4 linked regions of the Macaca mulatta genome follow. The protein of the gene in region 1 binds, or shares a complex with, the protein of each later gene. Links are inferred from orthologs where the notes say so. Each region holds a gene or a part of one and is shown in the gene's direction. Other genes may lie near its edges.

Region 1 (3,511 bases):
GGGCGTGTTGGCAGCTGCCTGTAATCCCAGCTACTCGGGAGGCTGAGGCAGGAGAATTGCTTGTACCGAGGAGGCAGAGGCTGCAGTGAGCTGAGATCGTGCCACTGTACTCTAGCCCGGGCGACAGAGCGAGACTCCGTCTCAAAAAAAAAAAAAAAAAAAAAGGGAAAAAAGAAAATGCTTCTTGCTACTTCTGCTCTGGGAGCCAATCTTTTGGCTTCTTGGTCCTGCCAGTGGTCACCTGCTCTGTAATAGGCCTCTGTGAGCTGGGTTCCTTTTGAGTCTGTGTATGCGCGTGCGTGTGTGTGTGTGCACGCGCGCTTTGAACAGCTAAGAACTTGGAGCTGCCTCCATTTCTGTCAGTGGTTGTTAATTCTGGCCTGACAAGGCTACTTTTGTCTTCATGCTGTCTGTGTTTAGGATTACAGGTGGGGTAAAACTTCGGTGGGGATTTAGAAAATTAGGGCAGTTGAGAAATTAGGGCAGATGGGGAAGCTTGCTCAAGCCCCAGATACTAATTTCCCTGAGACCAAATCACCCCCAGTGTGGCAGCCTCAAGGCTTTTTGTTTGACCTTAGGTGAAGTTCTTTGTGGGGCTCACCAAGAGGGTAACCACATACGTTTTTTCCAGAATGTGGTAGTGTCTCAGACTTCTACAAAATTTCTTTAGATGCTGAAAAGAAGAATTGTAGTCATCTAGGCAATACCACCCCGAACCTGCCTGATCTCAGAAGCTAAGCGAGTCAGGCCTGGTTAGTACTTGGATGGGAGACCACCTGGAAATACCAGGTGCTGGAGGCTTAAAACAAAGAACAGAATAGCTTGTTCATGGTCCTTCAGTTCTCAGTACCAGTCAAGTGGGAATCTTCAGTGAATTAACCTTTTTCTAGGGCTGCGGAGTTTAGTTGGTTTGCTCATAGCACTATCGAAGTTACAGGCTATATGCATTAATCAGGTAGCTCCCACATCTGGGCTGCCACCTTTCAGAAGTTGATAGTCCAGGAGACACATGAACCAGTTCAGATTCATCACAAACACAGGGAAAGTGCTCCAGTATTTTTAATCCATCTTTCCTTGCCTCACGTAAGTGTAAAAGACAGTGGAGTGGGGGTATTGTGATCCTATTGATTCATTTCAGGTTCTGCTTTAGTCTGTGACCTTGAAAAGAATCATTAGCTTCTTTGGTTCTGTCTTAAAAGGAATGAAAATTATTGCTCACTGTATGCTTTCTAACATGGGGAAGGTCATGAGGAATATGCTGGCAATGAATTTATAATGGAAAAAGTCTAACATTTCTCTTCCATACTCCTTTCAGAATCGGCTACAGTCTCAAAGGGCAATGCTTCTGCAAGGCACTGAAAGCCTGAACCGGGCCACCCAAAGTATTGAACGCTCTCATCGGATTGCCACGGAGACCGACCAAATTGGCTCAGAAATCATAGAAGAGCTGGGGGAACAACGAGACCAGTTAGAACGCACCAAGAGTAGAGTAAGTCTGGGCAGACAGGGAAAGGGGCAAGTATGGGAAAATTAGGGGGCCACTGCACCTGGAAACCATACTAAGACCAAAAGCTACAGCAGTTCTGTATTCAGGGAATAGTCTTTTTTAAGTTCATATGCTTTTCTCAATTTTTATTAATTTTTTTATTACTTATTTATTTTGAGATAGCGTCTCACTGTGTCACCCAGACTGGAGTGCAGTGGCGTGATCTCCACTCACTGCAACCGCCACATCCTGGGTTCAAGCGATTCTCTTGCCTCAGCCTCCTGAATAGCTGGGATTGCAGGCATGTGCCACCACGCGTAGCTAATTTTTGTATTTTTAGTAGAGACGGGGTTTCGCCATGTTGGCCAGGCTGATCTCGAACTCCTAACCTCAGGTGATCCATCCGCTCTGGCCTCCCAAAGTGCTAGGATTACAGGCATGAGCCACTGTGCCTGGCCGCTTTGCTCAATTTTTAGTTTGCTTGGCCAAGAGATCTCCCTTAGAAGCAATTTTACCCCTAAGAATTAGACATCATTGGAAATTTTTGCTTCAGTGAAGGGAAAAAAAGATGGAAGAAACCTGATTTCTACACTTATAAGATTACAGGAATTAATAAGGATAAAGTGGCTGTATTCTCTTTGGCAAGAGAAATAATACGTCAAAAGGCACTTAAGGATTCAAAGCTTCCAATCTGAGATTTTAATTTTTCACACATCTAATAGAGTATTCTGCTATTCTTATGAAAACATCATCTACTTATACCCTGTCATTTAGAGCCAAGGCTATTTTCCAGATTTCGTAAAATAGTACCAGTTTATAGATTTATAAATTATGCTTCAATCCTGGACTATAACCCTTTACTATTATCTAAGTAAAAGTAAAAAAAAAAAAAAAAAAAAAAAAGTAATAGGGAAAAAAAATCTCTAAGGATTATCCAGTAAGGTAAACTGGATCATTGTGGAAAGAAAACAAATATTTAAACCAAATGATGACTATATCAGGGACCTCTAGTCTACTGTCACTCTGAGAGCCTCAGAAAAATAACTCATTTATTTTTTCCTTTCCATAAATGAGTTAACCTATGTATGAATTTTTTAGTTTTTTAGAGACAGGGTCTTGCTCTGTCACCCAAGCTGCAGTGCAGCAGTGCAATTAGAACTTACTGTAGCTTCAAACTCCTGGGCTCAAGTGATCCTCATGTGTAGCTGGGACTGCAGGCATGTGCTACTGTGCCTGGCTAATTGTTTTAATTTTTTGTGAAAACGGGGTTTCACTATGTTGCCAAAGTTGCTCTCGAACTCCTGGGCTCGAGCAATCATTCCACCTTGGCCTCCCAAAGCGCTAGGATTACAGGCATGAGCCACTGTGCCCGGCTGGAATTTTTAAATTAGTACAATTTGCCAATTGAATGCTGTATTCTTAATAGCAGAAGGCAAATCAATTTGAAAAACATACTGTGGCCAAGATTTGGACAGGAAAATACTAGCTCAGTGTGAAGATTTGAGTAGATTTTCTTAGTAGCTACAATTCTCCATTAAGTCAGAGTAGTGCCTGCCCTCTTCAGTGAAAATTCACAATAAAGTACTACATTCAAGGAAAGCTATGGAGAATGTAACTTGCTTTCAGATTGTGTGGGTTTTGGTTTTTGAACATACCAGGTAGATTGGTTGAATTTAAAAGCCCAGGAGGCCAGGCTCACACCTGTAATTTTAGCACTTTGGGAGGCTGAGGTGGGAGGATGGCTTGAGCCTAGGAGTTTGAAACCAGCCTGGGCAACATAGTGAGATATCATCTCTACTAAAAATCAGAAAAAGTAGCAGGGTACGGTGGCATGCACCTGTGATCCCACCTTACTTGGGGACAGGTGGGGGTATTGCTTGAGCCTGGGAGGTCAAGGCTGTAGTGAGCTGCGATTGCAGCACTGCACTCCAGCCTGAGTGACGGAGCGAGACCCTGTTTCAAAGAAATAAAAGCCACGGAATGAGCTGAGAGGTCAGCTTACCAAGGCCACTGGGGAATGGGAAC
Region 2 (4,028 bases), on another chromosome or scaffold:
CTGATCCCCCTCCTTGTGACCGGGGCTTCTTGGGCCGGAATTTCCAACAGGAAAGGATCTCAGCCCCCACCGCGCCCTGCCACACACACAGTGACGCCCCTCGAGCTCCACAGAACCGATGGGATGTAGACGGGAAAGCCGAAGTGGAAAGGACTTTTCAGTCCCGGGCCATTGGGTTCGTTAGGCGTTTGCTGGGGAATGCAGGCGAACGGGACTCCCAGGCCCCTGCCTTTGTGGAGCTTATGTTCCAGAGGGGAAGGCAGACAAGGAAAAACAAAAGGACATGAGGCGGTCACAGGGCTGTGCTTCAAAAGAAGCAAAAGGTGACTGCTGGGCTGCAAGGGCTGTGAGGAAGTGGTGTTTTTGCTAACACTGGACGATGGGAAGCGAGCTGGGAAAAGACTGGAGGAGCCACTCCAGGCAGAAGGAGCAGCACTTGCAAAGGTGGAAGGGCCGTGAGGGGCCGAGAGAAAGGGGAGCAACGCAGTCTGGCCTGGACTCAGTTCCCTCTTGACAAGCAAAGATCCTGCGTGTCCGTTTCAGTGGCCATCAGGAGGATTCAGTGACGCACAGGAAGCGCGGTCCACTGGCTCTTGTAACAAGTGCCCGGGAGCAAAGGCGTCTACGGCCCCCACTCCCCGTGCCGCCTCCCAGTCTCTTTCCCTGCTTCACTTTCCTGTAGCGCTTTCCGCACACCTGTATTCGACGCGGCGCGCACTCGCAGGCACTAGCGAGGCGCCGATCTCCACTTGACAGAGGAGGCACCCTTGCCCCCTCCACACCCAGGGCTCCTCGCGGGCTTCTGCCCGAGGGGCCTACTCCTCCCTCATGACCCGCCTGTGAATCCTTCCTAACCGTTAGGACCTAACGCATGGCAGCGTCTTTCCACCACCATCGTCTTGGCACTGAGCAAGCAAACGGCCCCGCCCCGCCCCACGTTCACAGGAACAACAAACAAACGTCACATCCGCGGTGCTGCTGTAATCCCAGCACCTTGGGAGCCCGGCAGGCGGGGGCTGCAGTGAGCTGAGATCGCGCCACTGCCTGGGCGACAGTGCTGAAAATAAGTCACAGCGACGCCCATCGCTTCCGCGACCCCGCGGTTCCCCACCCTCGGGCCTAAGCCGGAAATCAGCGAGCCCGACGCGGAAGCGGCTGGGCCATCTAGGGGCGTGGTTGGCGCGGAGGCGGGGCCATCGCTGGCGGGGGGCGGGGCCGGAAGCCCGTTCCCCGTGACTGCGCCACGTCTGAGGCGGCTGTGGCCGCGTCGGTGTTGGCGTCGAGGAGCCGGGGCAGGGCACGATGGCGGACTGGGCTCGGGGTGAGCGCGGGAGAGCGGAGCCGTTGGGGGCAGGGCCGGGCCGGAACCGACGCCGCTGCCTGTAGAGCCGCGTGCGCCTGCCTCTGGCCTCGGCGGGGAGGACCCTGTCAGGGGGGCGGATTCGGATCCTTCCGGGTCCCAGCAGGGCCGGGTTTCGGCCAGCACTGCCGCTAGGAAGGACGGCGGGCGGGGCGGCCCAGCAGCTCCAGCGAGGGGTCGCGCAGCTGCGGGGTCCCCCCACTCCCCGCCGCTCCCTGTGAGATCGTTTTGCATGGGTTCAGGGTGAGCGGGAGTCTCGGCATTCGACAGGTCCCGAGGCCAGGCCTTCGGAGTAGGCTGTGCTCCGCTGGTGTCCAGGCAGGCCTCTGCTAACTAACTTGGGCCTCGGTGGCCCCATTTCCCCTCCTGGAGCCCGTGTTCTTCTCTGCAAAGTGGGATATTGATGCCTGTCTGAGTTATGATGAGTAAAGGAATTAATGAACAGGAAGTGGTTGGAAGGACGCTGGCATCCCTTCCTTAACGTTGAAGCTAGGGAGAAGGTGGTTCTCACCCACCTGAGGTGACAGAAATTCCTTATCACCTGGCCCAGCCTGTCACAGGCCGGGCCTCTGCAAGCGCTGTGCTCTGGGTGTTGCAGGAAGCCCTGTGTGGGATGCAGACCAGGGATCACGCTCCTGGTCGACCTCAGCTCCCATCTCGCGGAATTGGGAACTTTGCTCAGCTGTTTTCTGTGCGGTAAAGGGCCTTCCCAATGTTCTGTCCTGGTTCCTTGCCACCTCTTCAGGACCCAGCTCAAAGGTCGTCCCTGCAGGAGCCTTTCTGCTGCCCTGCTGGGTACTTTTCCCAAGTCTTTCCTATGCTCTTAGCAGAGTTTACTCTTTTTCTATAAGAATGGGCTCCACATACACAGATGGCGACCTCCCTGGATGCAAGTGTCACATCTTATTAACATCCCAGAGCTGGGCCCAGTTTTTGCTACACAGTCTCAGAAGGTGCTGGTTGGACTGAACCCACTGTGGGTGCTGGCCCATCCCCACCTGGATGTGTACACAGGACACGTGTTCACATGACAGGCCCTTGCACACATCGTCCTTTATGCAGTCTCTCTCACATGTGCAAGATTCACCTGCTGGAACCTAGGTTAGGTCCCCTAGATTTCTGACTCACCCAGTTGTGGTTGGAGTGAGAGGGGTCAGAGGCCTCGCTCCCCGATGGATGCAATCACTCAGCCCCTCTCTTTTCTCAGCTCAGAGCCCGGGCGCTGTGGAAGAGATTCTAGACCGGGAGAACAAGCGAATGGCCGACAGCCTGGCCTCCAAAGTCACCAGGCTCAAATCGGTCAGTGGTGGTCTGTCCTCTTACCTCCACCTGGTGCCCTTGGGGAATGGGGATCAGAGGGAAGGTAGAGGGCCCAGAGGAGTTTCAGGCAGTTTGCCGTCCTCCTCGTTCGATTCGTGGCTGTGCTCACCTGCATGAGGCCCCAGCTGACACCTGGACCTTCCTGCTGCTGCCCCACTGTGTCTGGCAGAGTTGTTGGCAGGGTTTGTCTGGTCTGGGAAGGGTGAGTGCTGTATTATGTGTCTGCTCTGGCCCAACCCTGCCCTCTCTGTGTGCTGAACAGCTCGCCCTGGACATCGATAGGGATGCAGAGGATCAGAACCGGTACCTGGATGGCATGGTAAGGGCCCACGGTGTGCGCGAATCAGTGCCCTGCCCCCAGCACTACCTGCTACAGAGCTTGCAGTGTCTCCTTCAGCACTGGTGCGGGTGGGTGGTCAAATCACCACTTCTGTGTGATCTTGCCGGGATTCTTCCCTTAGGACTCGGATTTCACAAGCATGACCGGCCTGCTTACAGGGAGTGTGAAGCGCTTTTCCGCAATGGCAAGGTCCGGACGAGACAACCGGAAGCTTCTATGTGGCATGGCTGTGGGTCTGATTGTGGCCTTCTTCATCCTCTCCTACTTCTTGTCGAGGGCAAGGACGTGAGACAGTGGGAGCTGGTGTCTGTGGGTGCCAAGGGCAGCCATTGTCTTCCCTGCCTGGCATCTTGGGCTCCAGAGGACTTACCTGCAAAGTACTCCTTTGAAATTATAATCGTGGGCCAGGAATCCTTTCTGTGTGGCAGGAGGCTGCGGCTGCCTGTGACCTGATGAGCTCATGTTGGCTGGTCCCATGTGTGGAAGGGACTCTTTCGGGGAAACCAAGGCCCAGCCCCTCCCCCCTTCCCCAGATGCTAGAGACACAAGCAGAGCTGGGGCCGCAGCGTGTCTGGAGGAGCCAGGTCTGAGCAGAGCAACTGTTGAATCCCAGGCGTGGCCACCTGTGGCCTGCAGCCTTTCTCCCAGCTCTTGGGACGCTGACATCTGAAGGCTCCACGGTCGTGTCCTTGTCTGGATGAGGCCATGTCTGTGATCCAAGGTTCCTGGAACTGACACAGGAAGGGGCTGTGAACCCTAAGTGGGTGCTATCTCCTCCAACTGAGGCTTCTCAGCCTGGAGATGGCAGTTACTCCTGGCCATGGTTGCTGAGCACAGGAGACCAGTGCGGGCCACCCTGCTGTGAGTTCTCTGTGCCTACTCTCCAGTCCTGCGGATGAAGTGAGACCCCTGGGGAGAACGGGTTGTGGATGAAGGAGTGGACTGCAGCCTTGGCCTAGCCACTGGGTGGGATCCTTCTGGGTCCTGTGACTGTGTATCCAGGAGCAG
Region 3 (3,977 bases), on another chromosome or scaffold:
GAGCTACCATGCCCAGTCCCCCTGACTCCTACACTTTCTTCCCACTCACCAGGATGAGCCCCAAGAGCCTCAAGAACCCAACAAGGTGCCCCTAGAAGACACAGAGACAGACGAACTTTGGGCATCCTTGGAGGCAGCTGCCAAGCGGAAGCTCTCGGATTTGGAGCAGACCCAAGGAGCTCTCCAAACCAGACGGAGAAAGAAGAAGCGGCCTGGGTCCACCAGCCCCTGACGCCCCTGACGCCCCTGTGCCTGCCCACTTTGTAAATAAACAGCTGAACATCCACCATGACCCTGAGCCTTTTGTGATGGGAGAAAGGAATGAGGGGTAGCTTGGGGTGGGGGCTCCCTGAGCTGGGGCGACGGGATATCTGATGTCACAAAAGCCGGGCCTGGAGGCAGGTAGGCTGGCGTGGGTGGCAGGGAGTCCGGGGCCCCGCGGGGCCATGGGCTGCTGCCAAGACAAGGACTTTGAGATGTCGGATGAGCAGTCCAAGGAGGCAGAGTCTGAGGCCGTCAGGGAAGATGGGACCAGAGGCACACACAGAGGGCCCAGGGAGTGTGAGAAGGGGCTTCCCGAGGGTAGGGGTGAGCTCAGAGGCCTCGTCGCCTCAGGCGCCGAAGGTATCGACTTGAACTCCCCGGACCATCGGAATCATAAGTCGAACGAAAGCCTTCTGATCACCGTGCTGTGGCGGCGACTATCCATGTTCAGTCGTCGGGGCTCCTCGCGGTCAAGCAAGAGACAATCAGACCAGATTAGGTCATCAATGTTCAGTGGTCGGGACTCCTTGCCGTCAAGCAAGAGGCAATCAGATCAGACTCGGAAACAGGAGCGTCCGATCCGAGAAGGCAACCAGGAGGAGCCGGAGAAGGGATGACCCCAGACCTGCTCTTAGTCCGCCCCAACCTCCAGAGAATAAAATTTCTAACGTGTACCTGCACCACCACTCTGGGAAACGGGCGCGGACACCGCCGGGCAGCTGGTTCTTTAAGGCTCCTCCCCGGAGGCGGGCCCAGCCCCCTGGGCTCCCGCTGTAGTACTCAGGGGCGGGGTCACGGCAGCGCCTTAGCCAATGGGAGGGGGGTCGCTCTTGCGTTTGGATGTGGGGCGTGTCTTTCGGGTCGCCTGGCTTGAAAATGCGTGGGACCGCCCCCTCGTCACCGGGGGTGGGGTTACGTGTAGGTGACGTGGCCGCTTCCAGTCTGGTCGGGTTTCGGCGGCCTCAGTGCCCAGGGAGGAGGCAGTGACGGCCGGGGAGATTGGTAGTGGCGGCGGCGACAGGCAGCAGAGGGGAGGTAAGACTTGCTCTAAGAGGGGGTCTGGCCACCGTGTCAGCTCTGGGGCAGTGGTTTTACAGGGGCGACGACTGGCAGGGGGAAGGGAACCAGGGGCAAGCAGGCAAGTCCTGCCGGCCCGGCTCCTGGTGAGCGAATTCCTTGCCGTCCAATCAGGAAAGCCTCTGTTGAGAGAGACGTCGGCATTAGCTAATGAGTGGTTGAAGTCTTCCAGAAGGCGGACCTTGGGCGGGGGGTGGGACTTCCTGTTTCAAATAAACACCCAGAGGTTTCCCCCTCCGCCCACCGAAGTGTGTCAGTCTTTGGAGGTCCGTCACCGGCCCCCCCCCGAGGGGCCGAAGGAAACCACGGAAACGAAGGGACTGGGTTAGGGCCCGGGGCAGTTACACGGGCCAGGCCGCAGTCTGAGGGCCACGGGACTTGGCTCTGGCCCTGTCTCTGCTTCAGGGCCCCCGGCCCGCGCTCTGGCCGCCGGAGCCAAGTTGGAAGAAGAGTCTGAAGCGGGTTCGACTTGGGACAGGGGAAAAGCAGAGCCCTTTCCGCTGCTGGCCCGCCCCAGGATCTGCGAGCGTCTTGGGCGCGAAAGTCCATGAGAAGTGCGGAAGGGGCTCGAGGATTTGTTGATTGGGGTGGGGCGGGGGAGTTTGGGGAAAGAAGCTGCCTGGGGAATGACACTCTCCCCTCCACAACAGTCCGAGGTTATGCGTCTCAATGATCCCGCGGAAACGCTACGGGTCTAAGAACACGGATCAGGGTGTCTACCTGGGTCTCTCAAAGACACAGGTCCTGTCCCCTGCACCTGCTGGCAGTAGCAGCAGCGACATCGCCCCTCTGCCCCCCCCAGTGGCCCTCGTCCCTCCCCCTCCCGACACCATGTCCTGCCGGGATCGGACCCAGGAGTTTCTGTCTGCCTGCAAGTCGCTGCAGACCCGTCAGGTAAGGACCTGGAGTGGAAAAGGCGAGGAGTGAGCCATACTCAAATCTAGGAAGGACTGTGCTCCACCACTGTTAACTGAAGTAATTCTTGGGGGTACCTGATGGAACTGATAGGCTTGGATGGGGCCAGTAGGGTCTGCTGTAAGCAACAGAGAAGAGGTCGGCTGGCTAACTAGAGGCAAGGACTTAGACCTTTTTTTAGGAGGAATCCCTTGGAGGGCAGGAGTGCTATTCTGGAGGGAGTACTTCAGAGAGTACTTGGCTGTAATATAATTGGTGTGAATAAGGAACAAGTTCTAGGAAGAGCCTTTAGCTGAGAAACACGCACCTTGAATTTTCCAATATATTTCTACCATAAATTTGCTCTGTAACCATGAGAAAATTAATCTAGTTACATCTTAGTTTTTATCTCTGTAACATTAAGGACATTTTCTAGATCAGTAATTTGTTGTTTTTGTTTTGTTTTGAGATCTGTTTTCAACTCTGTCAACAGGCTGGAGTGTAGTGGCGTGATGATAGCTCACTGCAGTCTTGAACTCTTAGACTCAAGGGATCCTCTTTCCACAGCCACCTGAGCAGCTGGGACTACATGGATGCACCACCCAGCTAATTTTAAAATTTTTTTCGTACAGGCAGTGTCTCACTATGTTGCCCAGGTTGGTCTGGACACAAACACCTGGCCCTAGACCAGTAATTTGTATCAAAATAACTTAGGGTTGGATGTGGTGGCTCGTACCTGTAATTCCAGCACTTTGGGAGGCCTAGGCCACAGGATCGCTTGAGGCCAGGAGTTAGAGACCAGCAGGGGCAATGAAGAAAGACCCTGTCTCTACAAGAAAAGAAAAAAAAAGCTGGACGTGGTAGCATGTGCCTGTAGTCCCACCTACTTAGAAGGCTGAGCGAGGCCCAGTCTCTTTCTCTTTTTTTTTTTTTTTATTTTAAGAAGGAATTTCACTCTTGTCGCCTAGACTGGAGTGCAGTGGTGCAATCTCAGCTCACTGCAACCGTCTCTTCCCGGGTTCAAGCGATTCTCCTGCCTCAGCTTCTGGAGTAGCTGGGATTACAGGTGCCCGTCACCGTGCCCGGCTAATTTTTGTATTTTTTTTTTAGTAGAGATGGGGTTTCACCATGTTGGTGGGGCCGATCTTGAACTCTTGACCTCAGGTGATCTGCCTTCCTCAGCCTCCCAAAGTGCTGGGATTACAGGCATAAGCCACTGCGCCCAGCCTCTCTCTCCTTTTTTGGAAACAGGGTCTCACTCTGTCACCAAAGCTGGAGTGCAGTGGTTCTATCTCGGCTCACTGCAACATCTGCCCTCCTGGGCTCAAGCAGCCCTCCTGCCTCCAGCTTCTCAGTAGCTGAGATTGTAGGCATGTGCTACCATGTCTGCCTAATTTTTGTTTTGTTAGTAGAGACGGGGTTTTACCATGTTGCCCAGACTGGTCTCGAACTTCTGTGCTCAAGTGATCCACCTTCTTCATCTTCTCAAAGTGCTGGGATTACAGGTGTCAGCCACTGCACTCAGCTCCTCTTAAAAAAAAAAAATTGGGAGTGCTTTCTAATTATTTATTTATTTAATTAATTAATTTTTTTTTTTTTTTTTGAGACGGAGTCTCGCTCTGTCGCCCAAGCTGGAGTGCAGTGGCCGGATCTCAGCTCACTGCAAGCTCCGCCGCCCGAGTTTACACCATTCTCCTGCCTCAGCCTCCCGAGTAGCTGGGACTACAGGCGCCTGCCAGCTC
Region 4 (4,126 bases), on another chromosome or scaffold:
CCAGTTAGCCTCTGAGGAGACTGAAGCACAGGCATGCAGTGCTGTGGACAGGATTTGAGCCCAGGCAGATGCCAAGCCTGGGATACACTGCCTCTCTATTAGGTGCAGTGGGGTGATGAATACCTTACGAGAGGGTGTGTAGAGGCCTGTAGGAACACAGACAAGCACAGAGCCCTGCTTACAACAGGTGGGAGCCATATTGATTTTTTGGGGAAAAGATGGCTTTCAGTAGAGGCTGTGCCACTTTCAAGATAGGTAATCTTGCGACAGGGTTGATTGGTGGTTATTTTAATCTACTTTCAGCTCATCTCCTGAAGTGTGATACTAGTGTAGTGCAATTTCAAGGGTGGTTGTGAGGATTAAGAGAGATGAACATTCAGGTCCTAAGCATTTAGGTCCTCACAATCTATTCTTGCTGAAGTGACCTGAACAAAAGCAGATGGAGTGGGGTCGAGTCGGGGAAAAGCTTTCCAGGGAGAGGGAACACCACATTCTAAGGCTACACATCCAGAAAGAGCTTGAGCAATCCAGGAAGGGCGCAGGGTGGGGTGGCTGATGACCTTGAGGACCAGCTAAGAAACTTGGATTATTTACTAACAAAAATAAAAGAGCCACCATTTGTTGAGGGTTTCCTCTGACATTTCCATCAAAACTACGTAAATCCATCAAAACTACGTAAATCCATCAAAACTACCCCAGCAAGGTAGATTTAATAAATCCAGTTGTATACAAAAGGGAACCACCAGAAGCCATAGAAGGGCTGCATACAGGGAGGCGACTTGATCAATTTCGTGTTTTACAAAGATCCCTCAGATCATGTGTTGGAGTGATAGGAAGTACTCTACTGACTCTACTGAACTCCATACTTTAAAAAATACATAACATTTATCATTTTCTCTTTTACTCCACAATTTATACTCACTGTAGAAAATATTAAAAATATAAGAAAGTTTGAAGAAACAAAAAATTGTCACTTGTACTTTCCAGAGACATCTCAATTGATACTTTTCTTCCAGTCTTTTTTTTCTATGCAAAAAATACATAGTTATTAGAATGCCTGACAGAAGGAAGATGGAAAGAGACCACTGTGAAGCATTATTGATATTCCCTCTTCTCTTCCTCTCCATGGTATTAAGGCCATACCAAGAGGAGAGGCTGATTTCCCTACACGTGTCAGGGAAAGTCCCAACTCTGCGGCAGGGACCCAAGCTTGCCATTTTCGCCGGTCTCTAGGGGGCGCTGCCCCGAGACTGGGCGGGGAGGGCGAGAAGGCGGTGCGAAAACGCGTTTGAACTTGGGCCCTGCCGCCGCCCGTAACCGGCGTCCCCAACATGGCGGCTCCCCAAGATGTCCACGTCCGGATCTGTAACCAAGAGATTGTCAAATTTGACCTGGAGGTGAAGGCGCTTATTCAGGTACTGATCCCGGGACCCCTGCCAGGCTCCAGCAGCCCTAACCCAAGCTCTGCTGGTCTGTGAGCTCGGTAGTGTCACTCCCGAACTTTCCCCACTTGGTTTCCCAGGCCACCGGCTCCGCCCCATGACCGGCTACCCGCCCTGGTCCCCATTTGGTTGTGTCCCCGTGACTGCTGGCCTTGATCCTTTTTCCGGGTGCCGCCGGATCGCCCATCTCCAGAGCACCCAACTGTTCTCCGCCCCTGACCCAGCTACTGCTTCGAGGCTCGGCTTTGCCACTTCCACTTGCAGTCCTGGTCGTCGCTCCGCCCCTGACCTCCTCACAACCTACCTGCCACCCTGCTTGGCCCCGCCCTCTGACGCTGCTTCCCCATTCTCTGGTAGCGCCCGGTAGGCAGCTAGCCCCGCCCCCTGCTGGCCAGCTCCCCTGGCATCCAAGGGCACCTGGCTCGGGAGGCACCAGGTGAAACGAATGTAACCTGGACCGTAGTTGTGATTTTATGCTTGAGGAAATCGAATACGGCGCCAAGGCCTAGGTTAGAAGGCAGGCCTGGGTCAATGGCAAAACTGGGACCTGGACTGGGAAAGTCAACCTAGGAATAACACCTTAGAGTGTTACCCCGTTTGAACAGAGAGGAAATGAGGTGTTTTCGCCTTAAGCCATTTAAGGGTAGAGGTAAAATAAACGAGTTGACGTAGACAAGAATTAGGAATGTAGACACGGTTCCATGAGTTTAGCAAAAAGAAACCAAGAGTTTTAAACCTTGTTTTTTTGTTTTGTTTTGTTTTGTTTTTTGTTTTTGTTTGTTTTTGAGACGGAGTCTCGCTCTGTCGCTCAGGCTGGAGCGCAGTGGCGCGATCTACTCACTGCAAGCTCTGCCTCCCGGCTTCATGGCATTCTCCTGCCTCAGCCTCCCGAGTAGCTGGGACTACAGGGGCCCGCCACCACGCCCAGCTCATTTTTGTATTTTGTTTAGTAGAGACGGGGTTTCGCCGTGTTAGCCAGGATGGTCTTGATCTCCTGACTTCGTGATTTGCCCGCCTCGGCCTCCCAAAGTGCTGGGATTACAGGTGTGAACCACTGCGCCCGGCCTAAACCTTGGTTTTTAAAGCAAATCATTTTCAACAAAGTCACTAAACATTAGATGTAGACTCAGAGTTTGTAACGAGGGGTGGCAAAAAGTGCAGGAAAGTAGGGCTCCCCAGATAAACCAGATGCAGAATAAACCAAATTAGATGCAGAATAAACAAATATGGTGCAAAGAAGTGTGATTAAATTAATAACCAGAGAAAAAGTGAAATTTGATGCAGATATTTAAAACTTCTCGAACTTCACTTCTCTGATGTATACATTACAAAACTTCTGGGCCAGTTATAGAAAAATAAACTTAGGTTTCATACAAATGAAATCACATTTTCACATAATCTAAATTGCTTAGGCACCCTTCTGTACTCTTTCTAACATTTGGGTTCTTGTGATTGCTGATGAGAAAGATTGATTATAGCTGGATGTAGTGCACCCTTACTGTGTTCCAGCAGCTCTGCTAAGTGCTTTACATACACACATAATCTATGATGTTCTCTGAGGTAAGTAGGGTTGTGATGAGGAAACTGAGACACAGAGAATTTAAATAACTTTCCAGGTAACTTTACACAGCTAATAAGTTGCTACAGCCAGGATTCGAATCCACATGGTCTGTCTCCAGAGCCTGCTCTGAAAACTGGCACCAGTAATTCTGAATGTCCAGCAACAGATTCTAAATCTGCCCTTAAACATGTTTATATAAACACTCTAAATATCACTGACGGTTTGTAAAATCACACTGAAAAAGTTAATCTCATCATATGAGGCCAGATCTTTAAACATCCTCATCTTACAAGTTGAAAGGATCTAAGGTTCTAAAGTTATAGTATTACTTTCGCATGTCCATTCTTGTTGGGCATATAAGCTGTTTTAAGCTTTTTCATACTGGCCAGGTAATGTTTTGTTAAAATTTAGGCACTAAAAATTAGGTCAAAGCAGTTGTGTTTCTTTCTAGGCTTTTATATTAATTCAACATTAATCTAAAGAGGAATGAGAAAAATGCCAATGATAATGTTTTTGCTTGTGTTGCAGAGGTAAACAGCAAAGATCAGGATGAATTATAGTCAGTATCAGTACATTAATATTAGTTGGTCTAAACCAACTCTCTCACTGTATGGATGGTGTCATTTCATTTCATTGCCTTAAGAAAGGCCTTTCATCTGTTCAATGTCTCCTAGGATATCCGTGATTGTTCAGGACCCTTAAGTGCTCTTACTGAACTGAACACTAAAGTAAAAGAGAAATTTCAACAGTTGCGTCACAGAATACAGGTGGGTATTCTCAGAACTGAGATGCTGAGTATCTGTCAATGAAGGGGGCTCAGTCCTGGGTGTATCCTCTGCTTGAGAGCCGTCTGGGTTCTTCAAACACCAGCTGATGGGAGCAGTAAACACTTAAGACAGTGAGGGTGACTCTGTACTAACCTGCTGTCCAGGTAAAAACGAGAAACTTTTGCGTGCAGAACACTGCCAGCTGTGTCAACAAGTGGATGGCAGGAACACCATTATCCTTGGAATTTTTGAAACCCTGAGGCCACTTCAAATACTTTCTCTTCTCTACCTTCTTTCTACCCTATTCATTTGTTCACTACCTCAATCCATCACACTCCTGGGTTTTGTTTTTTTTT

Evidence for each region.
Region 2: VTI1B (region 1) and BET1L share a complex: the UniProt entries of both Homo sapiens proteins name them as parts of the SNARE complex. The link is inferred for Macaca mulatta from reciprocal best matches to the Homo sapiens genes VTI1B and BET1L.
Region 3: VTI1B (region 1) and STX5 share a complex: the UniProt entries of both Homo sapiens proteins name them as parts of the SNARE complex. The link is inferred for Macaca mulatta from reciprocal best matches to the Homo sapiens genes VTI1B and STX5.
Region 4: VTI1B (region 1) and BNIP1 share a complex: the UniProt entries of both Homo sapiens proteins name them as parts of the SNARE complex. The link is inferred for Macaca mulatta from reciprocal best matches to the Homo sapiens genes VTI1B and BNIP1.

The regions. Positions count from the first base shown.
Region 1 is NC_133412.1:140,831,190-140,834,700, reverse strand, and holds part of VTI1B (vesicle transport through interaction with t-SNAREs homolog 1B), read left to right. Parts: intron 1-1,315; coding exon 1,316-1,489; intron 1,490-3,511. UniProt on the Homo sapiens protein: V-SNARE that mediates vesicle transport pathways through interactions with t-SNAREs on the target membrane. These interactions are proposed to mediate aspects of the specificity of vesicle trafficking and to promote fusion of the lipid bilayers.
Region 2 is NC_133419.1:81,249-85,276, reverse strand, and holds BET1L (BET1-like protein), read left to right. Parts: upstream 1-1,217; 5' UTR 1,218-1,302; coding exon 1,303-1,321; intron 1,322-2,567; coding exon 2,568-2,659; intron 2,660-2,942; coding exon 2,943-2,999; intron 3,000-3,141; coding exon 3,142-3,309; 3' UTR 3,310-3,934; downstream 3,935-4,028. UniProt on the Homo sapiens protein: Vesicle SNARE required for targeting and fusion of retrograde transport vesicles with the Golgi complex. Required for the integrity of the Golgi complex.
Region 3 is NC_133419.1:11,223,196-11,227,172, forward strand, and holds the start of STX5 (syntaxin-5), read left to right. Parts: upstream 1-1,166; 5' UTR 1,167-1,299; intron 1,300-1,746; exon of another isoform or gene 1,747-1,895; intron 1,896-1,991; 5' UTR 1,992-2,010; coding exon 2,011-2,235; intron 2,236-2,728; exon of another isoform or gene 2,729-2,828; coding exon of another isoform or gene 2,829-2,891; intron 2,892-3,977. Other genes in the region: WDR74 (WD repeat-containing protein 74), read left to right, coding at 53-232; TEX54 (testis-expressed protein 54), read left to right, coding at 375-881. UniProt on the Homo sapiens protein: Mediates endoplasmic reticulum to Golgi transport.
Region 4 is NC_133411.1:182,025,787-182,029,912, forward strand, and holds the start of BNIP1 (vesicle transport protein SEC20), read left to right. Parts: upstream 1-1,315; 5' UTR 1,316-1,331; coding exon 1,332-1,415; intron 1,416-3,677; coding exon 3,678-3,770; intron 3,771-4,126. UniProt on the Homo sapiens protein: As part of a SNARE complex may be involved in endoplasmic reticulum membranes fusion and be required for the maintenance of endoplasmic reticulum organization. Also plays a role in apoptosis.